Linked DNA regions of Arabidopsis thaliana. The protein of the gene in region 2 interacts with the protein of the main gene of each other region in a pairwise test. Each region holds a gene or a part of one and is shown on either strand. Other genes may lie near its edges. The genes, in order: BZIP9 and bZIP44.

Region 1 (4,150 bases), on a different chromosome or scaffold from region 2:
TTAAATCTGTAACCAGAAAGATTCTAAATATAATTACTACACTAAATATTATAGTATCAAAAATAATTTTTAAAAAAAAAAAACAAATAAAGATTCAATTGGTCCCTCAAAACTGAAACTAAAGATTCTAGTGTTTTTTATTTGGTCACATAAACTTTGATAAAATTCATTTGGTCACGAGAATTCTTGTTTTTGTCATGAATTTTAAATGAGAATTTTTGTTTGTTCTATAATACTTTTATCTACCCATGACCAAAAAATATACTAACACAGTTATATGATTTGAAAAGTAATTTCTGAAAACTAAATCACCCCAACTACTCTAGTGATCACTAGACATAGAACAACGTCTTTTTTTTGTTTCTCTTTTCCTTTGTTTATAATTCCTTTCATCTTCTTTTCTTTTTCTTTGCAAAACCTCGTTTGGAGATTACAAGTAGAGTTTGTAGAAACAGAAAAATTACTTCTTCTTTTTTTGCTAAAAGAAAACAAAAATTACTTTTGTGTTCATAAACTAATTTTCATTCATATTTTCTGTATTTTAACTTACAAATTTAGCATGTGCCTCAAGTAGAAATTCGTTTCTTACAAAAAACGTATATCAATCATCATCTAAATTACATGAAAATTTTCAACATCACTAAGGATTGAATTTTAATTGTACTAGTTACTATGGTTACTGAATTGTACTGTAGTCGGTAGATTGTAAACATTGTAGTCCACTATAGGTTCGAAAGTTCTAGTTAGTGAGAAATAATAATTTTAAAATGCTTTTGGATTCTATTTTCGGATCTAAACAACTTTTGTTTGTTTAAAGACACATTACCTAGTTTGTTTCTTTTTATTGTTTTGTTGTGAAATATTTTAACTTTTTAAAGGAAGTGCAGATCAAAAGAAAGAAAAGTTGGTTTACGCATACAAAAGTTGATGAAATAAAAAGTATTTCTGGTGCTGGAGGAAAGAAATGTCTTTTAGATCTGCTTTCCAAAAGCATATGGCGAAAAGTAAGAGTAAACAAAGGACGAAGCATTTTGTGTTGTTCGTGTGACCGGAAAATTCTTAAGTTTTTCTTTTTGGTGTTGTAGTAGTAATGAATGATAATAAATATTTTAAAGATTTTTACTACATGATACAAAGGTGTAAAAAACTGAAACAATATTATCAATATTTTTCCTTCAAATATTATCAATTATTTATGAAGATTAGTTTTTAGTGTTTTATGAAATTATATATTCGGTAAAACATTTACCGTAAAAGGTTAATTTATTCATTTTCAATGTTTTTGTAGTTTCATCATTGGACTATGCCCCTTGTATATTAATCTTAAATTAGTCGTTAAGTACTTCAAATTCGAATTCAAACAGGTTATGTAGTAGAGTAATTTATGTAAGTGTAAGGTTCTTGACATGTGCCAAGAATACAAATGTACATGAGTGACAATATTATTATCTAAATATTTTCAAATATTTAAAAGCTTATTTCGAAATATTTTAGGATCCTTTTATGAATATAAGCTGCTTATATATATGCCTATAACATTCATTTTCAAATCAAAAGCTCCAACATATTAATGAGCTGACAAACAACTTAATGTTTGAATTCAGATATGATTTATATTGAAAGAGTCTCCAGCTATCTTAGATAGTCTCCCTAGTTAAGGGATTAAAGGTTATCATTAGCATATAATTGGTACCATAATATTCACCAATACTACAGAGCCTAATATACATCTCTGTGGCTTTGCTTTTCTATTCTCTTTTGTTATTGTTGTCATTAAAGAAAAAAAAAGTTGGAAATGAGGACGTTGCATTGACAATGCAAATTCAATTTTGCTTAGCCATTAAGAAGCTTTTTCACAACTTTAGTAAAGAAGAGAGACTTATATAAAGAAGATGTCTATCACCACTTACTCTTCCCCTCTCCTCTCTTTTCCAACCAATTCTCTTCTTTCTTGTGTGTTCACATTCAAAGAAAATGGATAATCACACAGCTAAAGACATTGGTATGAAGAGAAGTGCTTCTGAGCTGGCTCTACAAGAGTATCTCACTACAAGCCCTCTAGACCCTTGTTTCGACCTCATGAACCGGGTTAGTCCTTTTGTTGTCTCTCTTATTCGTATCATTGTTGCTTGTGTCTATATCAAGATCCAGAGATATTGTAGTAATTAAGAGTCTAGTTTCTTTTGGTTGTAGGATTACACTTGTGAGTTAAGAGATAGTCTTTTGTGGTCTGAGGGATTGTTTCCGGCTGGACCTTTTCGCGATGCACAGTCCTCAATCTGCGGTATGTGCATGTCTCTTTGATTTGACTCCATGTAAGTAATAAGTGTTGTTGCAGTTGATATTAATGTTCACTACTTGTGTGGCTCTTATCTACAAAGAGAATCTGTCAGCTGATAGTCCAGTGTCAGCCAATAAACCTGAGGTAAGAGGAGGAGTTAGGAGAACCACAAGTGGATCTTCTCATGTTAACTCTGATGACGAAGATGCCGAGACAGAAGCAGGGCAATCTGAAATGACTAATGATCCCAATGATCTGAAACGTATTAGAAGGTATGTTAGGTACCAATAAAAAAGTTAGATGTAAAACACTGAGATAGAGAATCACCAATTCTTCTTAATCTTTTTCTGTGATGTGAATTCAGGATGAACTCAAACAGGGAATCAGCAAAGAGGTCGAGGAGAAGGAAGCAAGAGTACTTGGTAGATCTTGAGACTCAGGTAAGGTTAACAAATAGCTTGTTGGATGATTTGTATCAGAGAGTAATGTTTTAATGGTGACCTTGTGTTTTCTTCAAGGTTGATTCTTTGAAAGGCGATAACTCAACACTGTACAAGCAGCTCATAGACGCAACACAACAGTTTCGTAGCGCTGGAACAAATAACAGAGTTCTCAAATCAGATGTTGAAACTCTGAGAGTCAAGGTATCATCTATCACTTGCTCTTTTCAATTTGGGAAAGTAATAACCGGAATGTGCTAAGTTAAGTAAATTCTATATAGGTGAAACTAGCAGAAGATTTGGTAGCGAGAGGGTCACTCACTAGCAGCTTGAATCAACTTCTACAAACTCATCTAAGTCCACCATCACACTCCATCAGCAGTCTGCACTACACGGGAAATACCTCGCCCGCCATTACAGTCCACAGTGACCAATCTTTGTTCCCTGGAATGACACTTTCTGGACAGAACTCAAGCCCTGGACTTGGTAATGTATCCAGTGAAGCTGTTAGCTGCGTCTCAGACATCTGGCCATGACTCTCTTTCTTCAGAACATGTAATGATCACTCAGCGAATTTCCTGTATGTGTTTCGCTATAGAACTAGAAACATATAATGAAAGCAGCATGTTCGTTAAATAAACTCAAGTTTCGTCAACATATACTTAATTGCTCCAAATCCTGCAGATTGTAATCTGGAAACTGAAGCATGTATAGGCCAATAAATTACATTCTCCAAGGAAATTGCTTAAATGTGTTCGCTTAAGTAAGTATACAGACAAACAAACAAAAACACTGATCCATTACACTTTACTTTCCAGCAATTTCTATTAGCTATTTAAGGCGACAGCTATGCATGTTGTAACATGAGCAGACAAAACTTACGTCGAAAACCAACCTCAGTTGATTAGAGGCGTACCCATCTGCGAATCTGCACCTATATCAGTTGCGAAGTCCTTAGGCAATGGGATATTTAATTCCGAGCAAACAAGCTTCACAATATTAGCCGTTACACCTCCCATAGACATCTTGTTCAGTGTTACTGCAATGGAAAATCTGTTGTTGATGTCACAGAAGCCTGTTGATCCTCCTAACCCTGAATGTCCAAAGCCAACCAGAGACCCATCTTGAGAAATGGCGCGCTTAAAACCAAGCCCAAACTTTCCATCAGGCACTACTAAGCCACTGTAGTCTCCAGCACCCATGAAAGCATCATGGATCCTCGGGTTGCTAAACATATTATGAATATCATGTTGATGATCATCGCTATTGATCTCAGTTTTGCCAGCAGAACTGTTAGTATCAACTAGCCTGGCTAAACTTTCTGTATTTGACTCTCTGCTGCTACTAGCACTCATAAACTGTTTCTCATCATAAAGCTTCCTCTCTTGATGATCTTTTGATTTACCCTTTTCTGTAGCTGCCATCTCCT
Region 2 (3,971 bases):
ATTCAGATATTTAAAGGATCAAAGAAACGAAATGATTGAGAATAACGAGATCATATGGCCTCGTACGTAAGAGCATCTTCATCGACAAAAGTGGTAGAGAATATCTCAAAAAATAAATAAATTAGTATTTTAATTAAATTAATATATTTTAATTAGTTTAAAGTAAATAAACCATTAGTTGAATGACAACTCTCAATAAATGCTAAGAATCGTCTCTTTTGCCAGAAACGGTTCGCCACTTTTCTTTCTTTCTCTCTTGTTTTTTTTCTTTTTAATTATTATTTATTTGATGAGTATCTCAATCAGATACTTCGATGGAGATGGTATAAAATTCTTAAAAAAGAAAAAAACTCGAGTGACCCATGATAACAACTCATTTTGATGTAAGTACCAAAATGCATAATTATTTTATCACATCGGGAAAATATAGTCTCTAACACAATAATCACAACACACCATTTCTATATAGTATTTTAAATGGACCACCGCCATCTACAAAAACCGTCCACGAGCTTTCACATTATTTTCATTTATTTCACTAATAGCCAAAATTTCATCTTTCTAATAAGAGCAACAATAACTCCCAAATAAGGAAACAGAAAACTCTAAGAAAATGACAAAATATTATTTCTTCACTTTTAATATATAGAAAGAAAAGATCTTAAAATATTTGTACCAAACTCACATCACCATCTCCATGATATCACACATTTCTTACACTGTCTATCATTACAATCAGTTTTAAACACTAATTAACCATCTTATAAAATAAAGAAACAAAGCATCATCACATAATTTATAAGAAAAATTACAGTTTTACCCCTGCTGCGATGATTAGTCTCACTCACGATGATAATGATGTGAAGTTTTCTAACAGTTGAAAACATCACCAGCAGTAGAAGCAGAAGCCATGATTGGTTGATTATAAAACCCTAGATTCATAGGATTCATCACGCCGTCGAATAATCCACCGTCGAATAATCCCTGACCGGTCTCCATACCGAATCCTGAAGAAGAAGATTCGACGAAATCAACGATCTCGTTAAGAGATTGGAGACGGTGGTTAAGTTCAAGAACCTGAGCTCTGAGAATGTCGTTCTCCGCCTCGATAGTGACGTAGTGCTGCGTCGTGACGGCGATTCCGGCGACGATCTGAGCGTTTTCTTTACGTAGATGAGTCACCTGAGCAGTGAGATCATCCAAATGCTTCTGCTTCCTCATCCTCGACCTCCTCGCAGATTCTCTGTTCGACTGTTTCCTCTTTCTCTTCCGCTCGTCGATTAGATCACGTTGCCGGAGATCAGATTCTGAACCGGAGTTAGCTAAACCAGTGGTTGAAACCGACGAGCAATTTCCACTTGTGGAAGATCCCATTTCAGTTTTATTATTCATATTAAAACACACAGAGAAAATTAAGTACTATGATTAAGACGCAGGACCCAAAGTTTATTATGTAAAAAGATTATAGTATATAGTTTTAATATATTATTATGGTTATAGAATATATAATAATAAAGGGCTAAAGGAGAGCTGATTTATGAGAAAACATAGAACCAGTAGAGAAAGACGACGGAGAAAGATTGAACAAGATGGGTCCTGCGTCTAAGAGACGAGTCTATAGTTAAACCAGATCTAAGGATTTCACTAATCACCGGAGACATGAATGTTTGAACATCAAGATCCACAAGAGTTTTGCCACATCAAATATTTATCAAACGCAAACTGATTACTAGTGTTTTTTTCTAGAGAAAACTGAAAAGAGAGAAAATATAAAAAGGTAGAAGAAAACGAGGAAGACAAAATAAAAACGCTAAAGAAGAGAGAGTGATTGATTCGAGAGCGAAGGGGAAGAGGTGAATTAAGGATTTGTGAGGGGATTTTATAGAGTTAGCAAAAAGGGTTTAGAGCATACTAGATTTAATAAGAAAATAAAGAGAGTATAAAGTGAATATCAGAAAGAAGGTGTTGAGAGATGAAGCATGTGAAGTGGGATTTTCCGAAACAGTCAAGTTACAGCTGTTTTGCAATATTTTATTTATATATTTATGTGTATGGGTTTAATTGTAAATTAATGATTCTGTATAATTAACCAATAACTATTTTTAGACATTTTTAATATGGAAAAGGAAAGAATCTTCGGTATTGGGTATCCTATTTTGTGAAAAGTTTTGATTTTTAAAATCTTCAAATTTTATTCTCTGATGAAAACAACGCGTTTAATTAATTTTGGTCAAATGATGGCTTTCAACAATATTACAGTAACACTGATAATAATAGTTTTGTATTAATGCTAACTTTTACTGCTAAAGAATCTTAAAGATAATAATAATAAGAATAATTGAAACTTTTGTCGTTGGTTCTCGACTTCTTTTTAATACATCAAAATCACCGCCCAAAGTACCAGAATTAACCGTTGAGCAACGGACACCTGGAGCATGAGACAAATCATGAATGAGGGTAGAGGTGGTATTTTCGTTATTTAATTTCTTATACATATATCTTTTTGTCAATAATTCAATCAATTTCGCTGTCCAAAAAAATAATATATATATTTAGGATAATAAATTAATAGTTTAGAAAACTATCAACTAACCAGCCGTTGAATTTATCGCCGTATGAAGCATCAAAATTAGAACTATTATTATCTTTACAATATTTCTATAACGTTTTGGAGTCCACTATAAAATATCAAGTTACATATCGAAAAGAAAAGACAAAAAGAAAAAACAATAAACTTTAAACGAGTAAATTACAGTACGGTAAAAAACTACTATTTGACAACAAAAAGAAGAACATATATACATTATCTAAACATTAAGGGTGTCAAAAACTTTAACTCATTGAACTTCATGTGACCGACGTGTTGTGGTACGTATAGTTACATAACATTGGATTGTAGAATCCAAGACGTAAATTCGTGTCAATTTATAAAATAATTTTATTGTGTGTAACATATTACATGTGGACCATGACTACTTAATCATTTGGTTTTGGTGCTTTAACTGAAATGGTTTGTGAGAAACTCTTTACCAAATTTTTTTGTTCATCCTCGAGCTCGTAATTAATCAAACATTTCGGCAAAACTTTGATATCTATAAATCTCATAAAAAGATTGAAATAAGAATAATACGTACTCATCTACAGCTCTATAACTTACAATAATATTATATACTAAATTTTGTAAAACACACATATATATATAGCTTAATTAATTGAATAGGAAAATTATGTAAGATGGACCGTCATAGTACGGACATCTCACGTGCAATTGCAATGCAAAGAGTGCGTGCTCTGTGCGCATGTGGACCCATGTCAAACATCGCAGTTGAGATGTAAGATCGACACGTGTCATTTTATTATTGAAAATGGATTTTTAAAAAGAAAAAATGTTGGTTCAATCGAATAAGTGAAGTCTAACGTTAATTAGGTATTTCCAATTAATGAATGTGTCCCTGCAAACATTGCAACAGGTAAGAAAAAGTAATTTGTACTAATTTGTCTTCTTCACACAATGCTTATTTGGCCTTATTTTTTTAAAAAATCTTTCATTTTAAATGAAAAATTAATTTTATTCGATACAGAAACATAATTTTCTTTACAAAATCGAAGATTTTTCAGATACCCAAGGTTTCATCGAACTAATTAAGATATCTCAAATATATTTATCATAACGCAAAATCAATTGAATAAATAAATAAAAATGCGACATGTATTGGAAAGGCAAAAGATCCCACTATAAATTAATGTCTAAAATACAAATGGTTACCACTTACCATAAAAATAATAATCGTCACCTCAATAATTTTTCATTCAACAAAAAGATTGTTGTTATTGCTTTCTACTAAGGCATATCACATCTTCTTTTTTTTTTGGGCAACAGGCATATCACATCTAATTTCATAAAATAAAAACTGATGTAGAGACTGTTTTATTTTATATATAGTATTACACACACAAAAAAATAAAAATCA

What was found.
Region 1: the proteins of bZIP44 (region 2) and BZIP9 interact in binary tests that used the Arabidopsis thaliana proteins (3 or more experiments, as listed by UniProt).

Annotation. Positions count from the first base shown.
Region 1 is NC_003076.8:8,513,285-8,517,434, forward strand, and holds BZIP9 (basic leucine zipper 9), read left to right. Parts: upstream 1-1,915; 5' UTR 1,916-1,974; coding exon 1,975-2,088; intron 2,089-2,193; coding exon 2,194-2,284; intron 2,285-2,381; coding exon 2,382-2,553; intron 2,554-2,645; coding exon 2,646-2,721; intron 2,722-2,799; coding exon 2,800-2,925; intron 2,926-3,002; coding exon 3,003-3,257; 3' UTR 3,258-3,385; downstream 3,386-4,150. Other genes in the region: AT5G24810 (ABC1 family protein), read right to left, coding at 3,618-4,150. UniProt on the Arabidopsis thaliana protein: Transcription factor.
Region 2 is NC_003070.9:28,289,645-28,293,615, reverse strand, and holds bZIP44 (basic leucine-zipper 44), read right to left. Parts: upstream 1,919-3,971; 5' UTR 1,393-1,918; coding exon 871-1,392; 3' UTR 608-870; downstream 1-607. UniProt on the Arabidopsis thaliana protein: Transcription factor that binds to the DNA G-box motif 5'-CACGTG-3' of MAN7 promoter. Involved in the positive regulation of seed germination through MAN7 gene activation.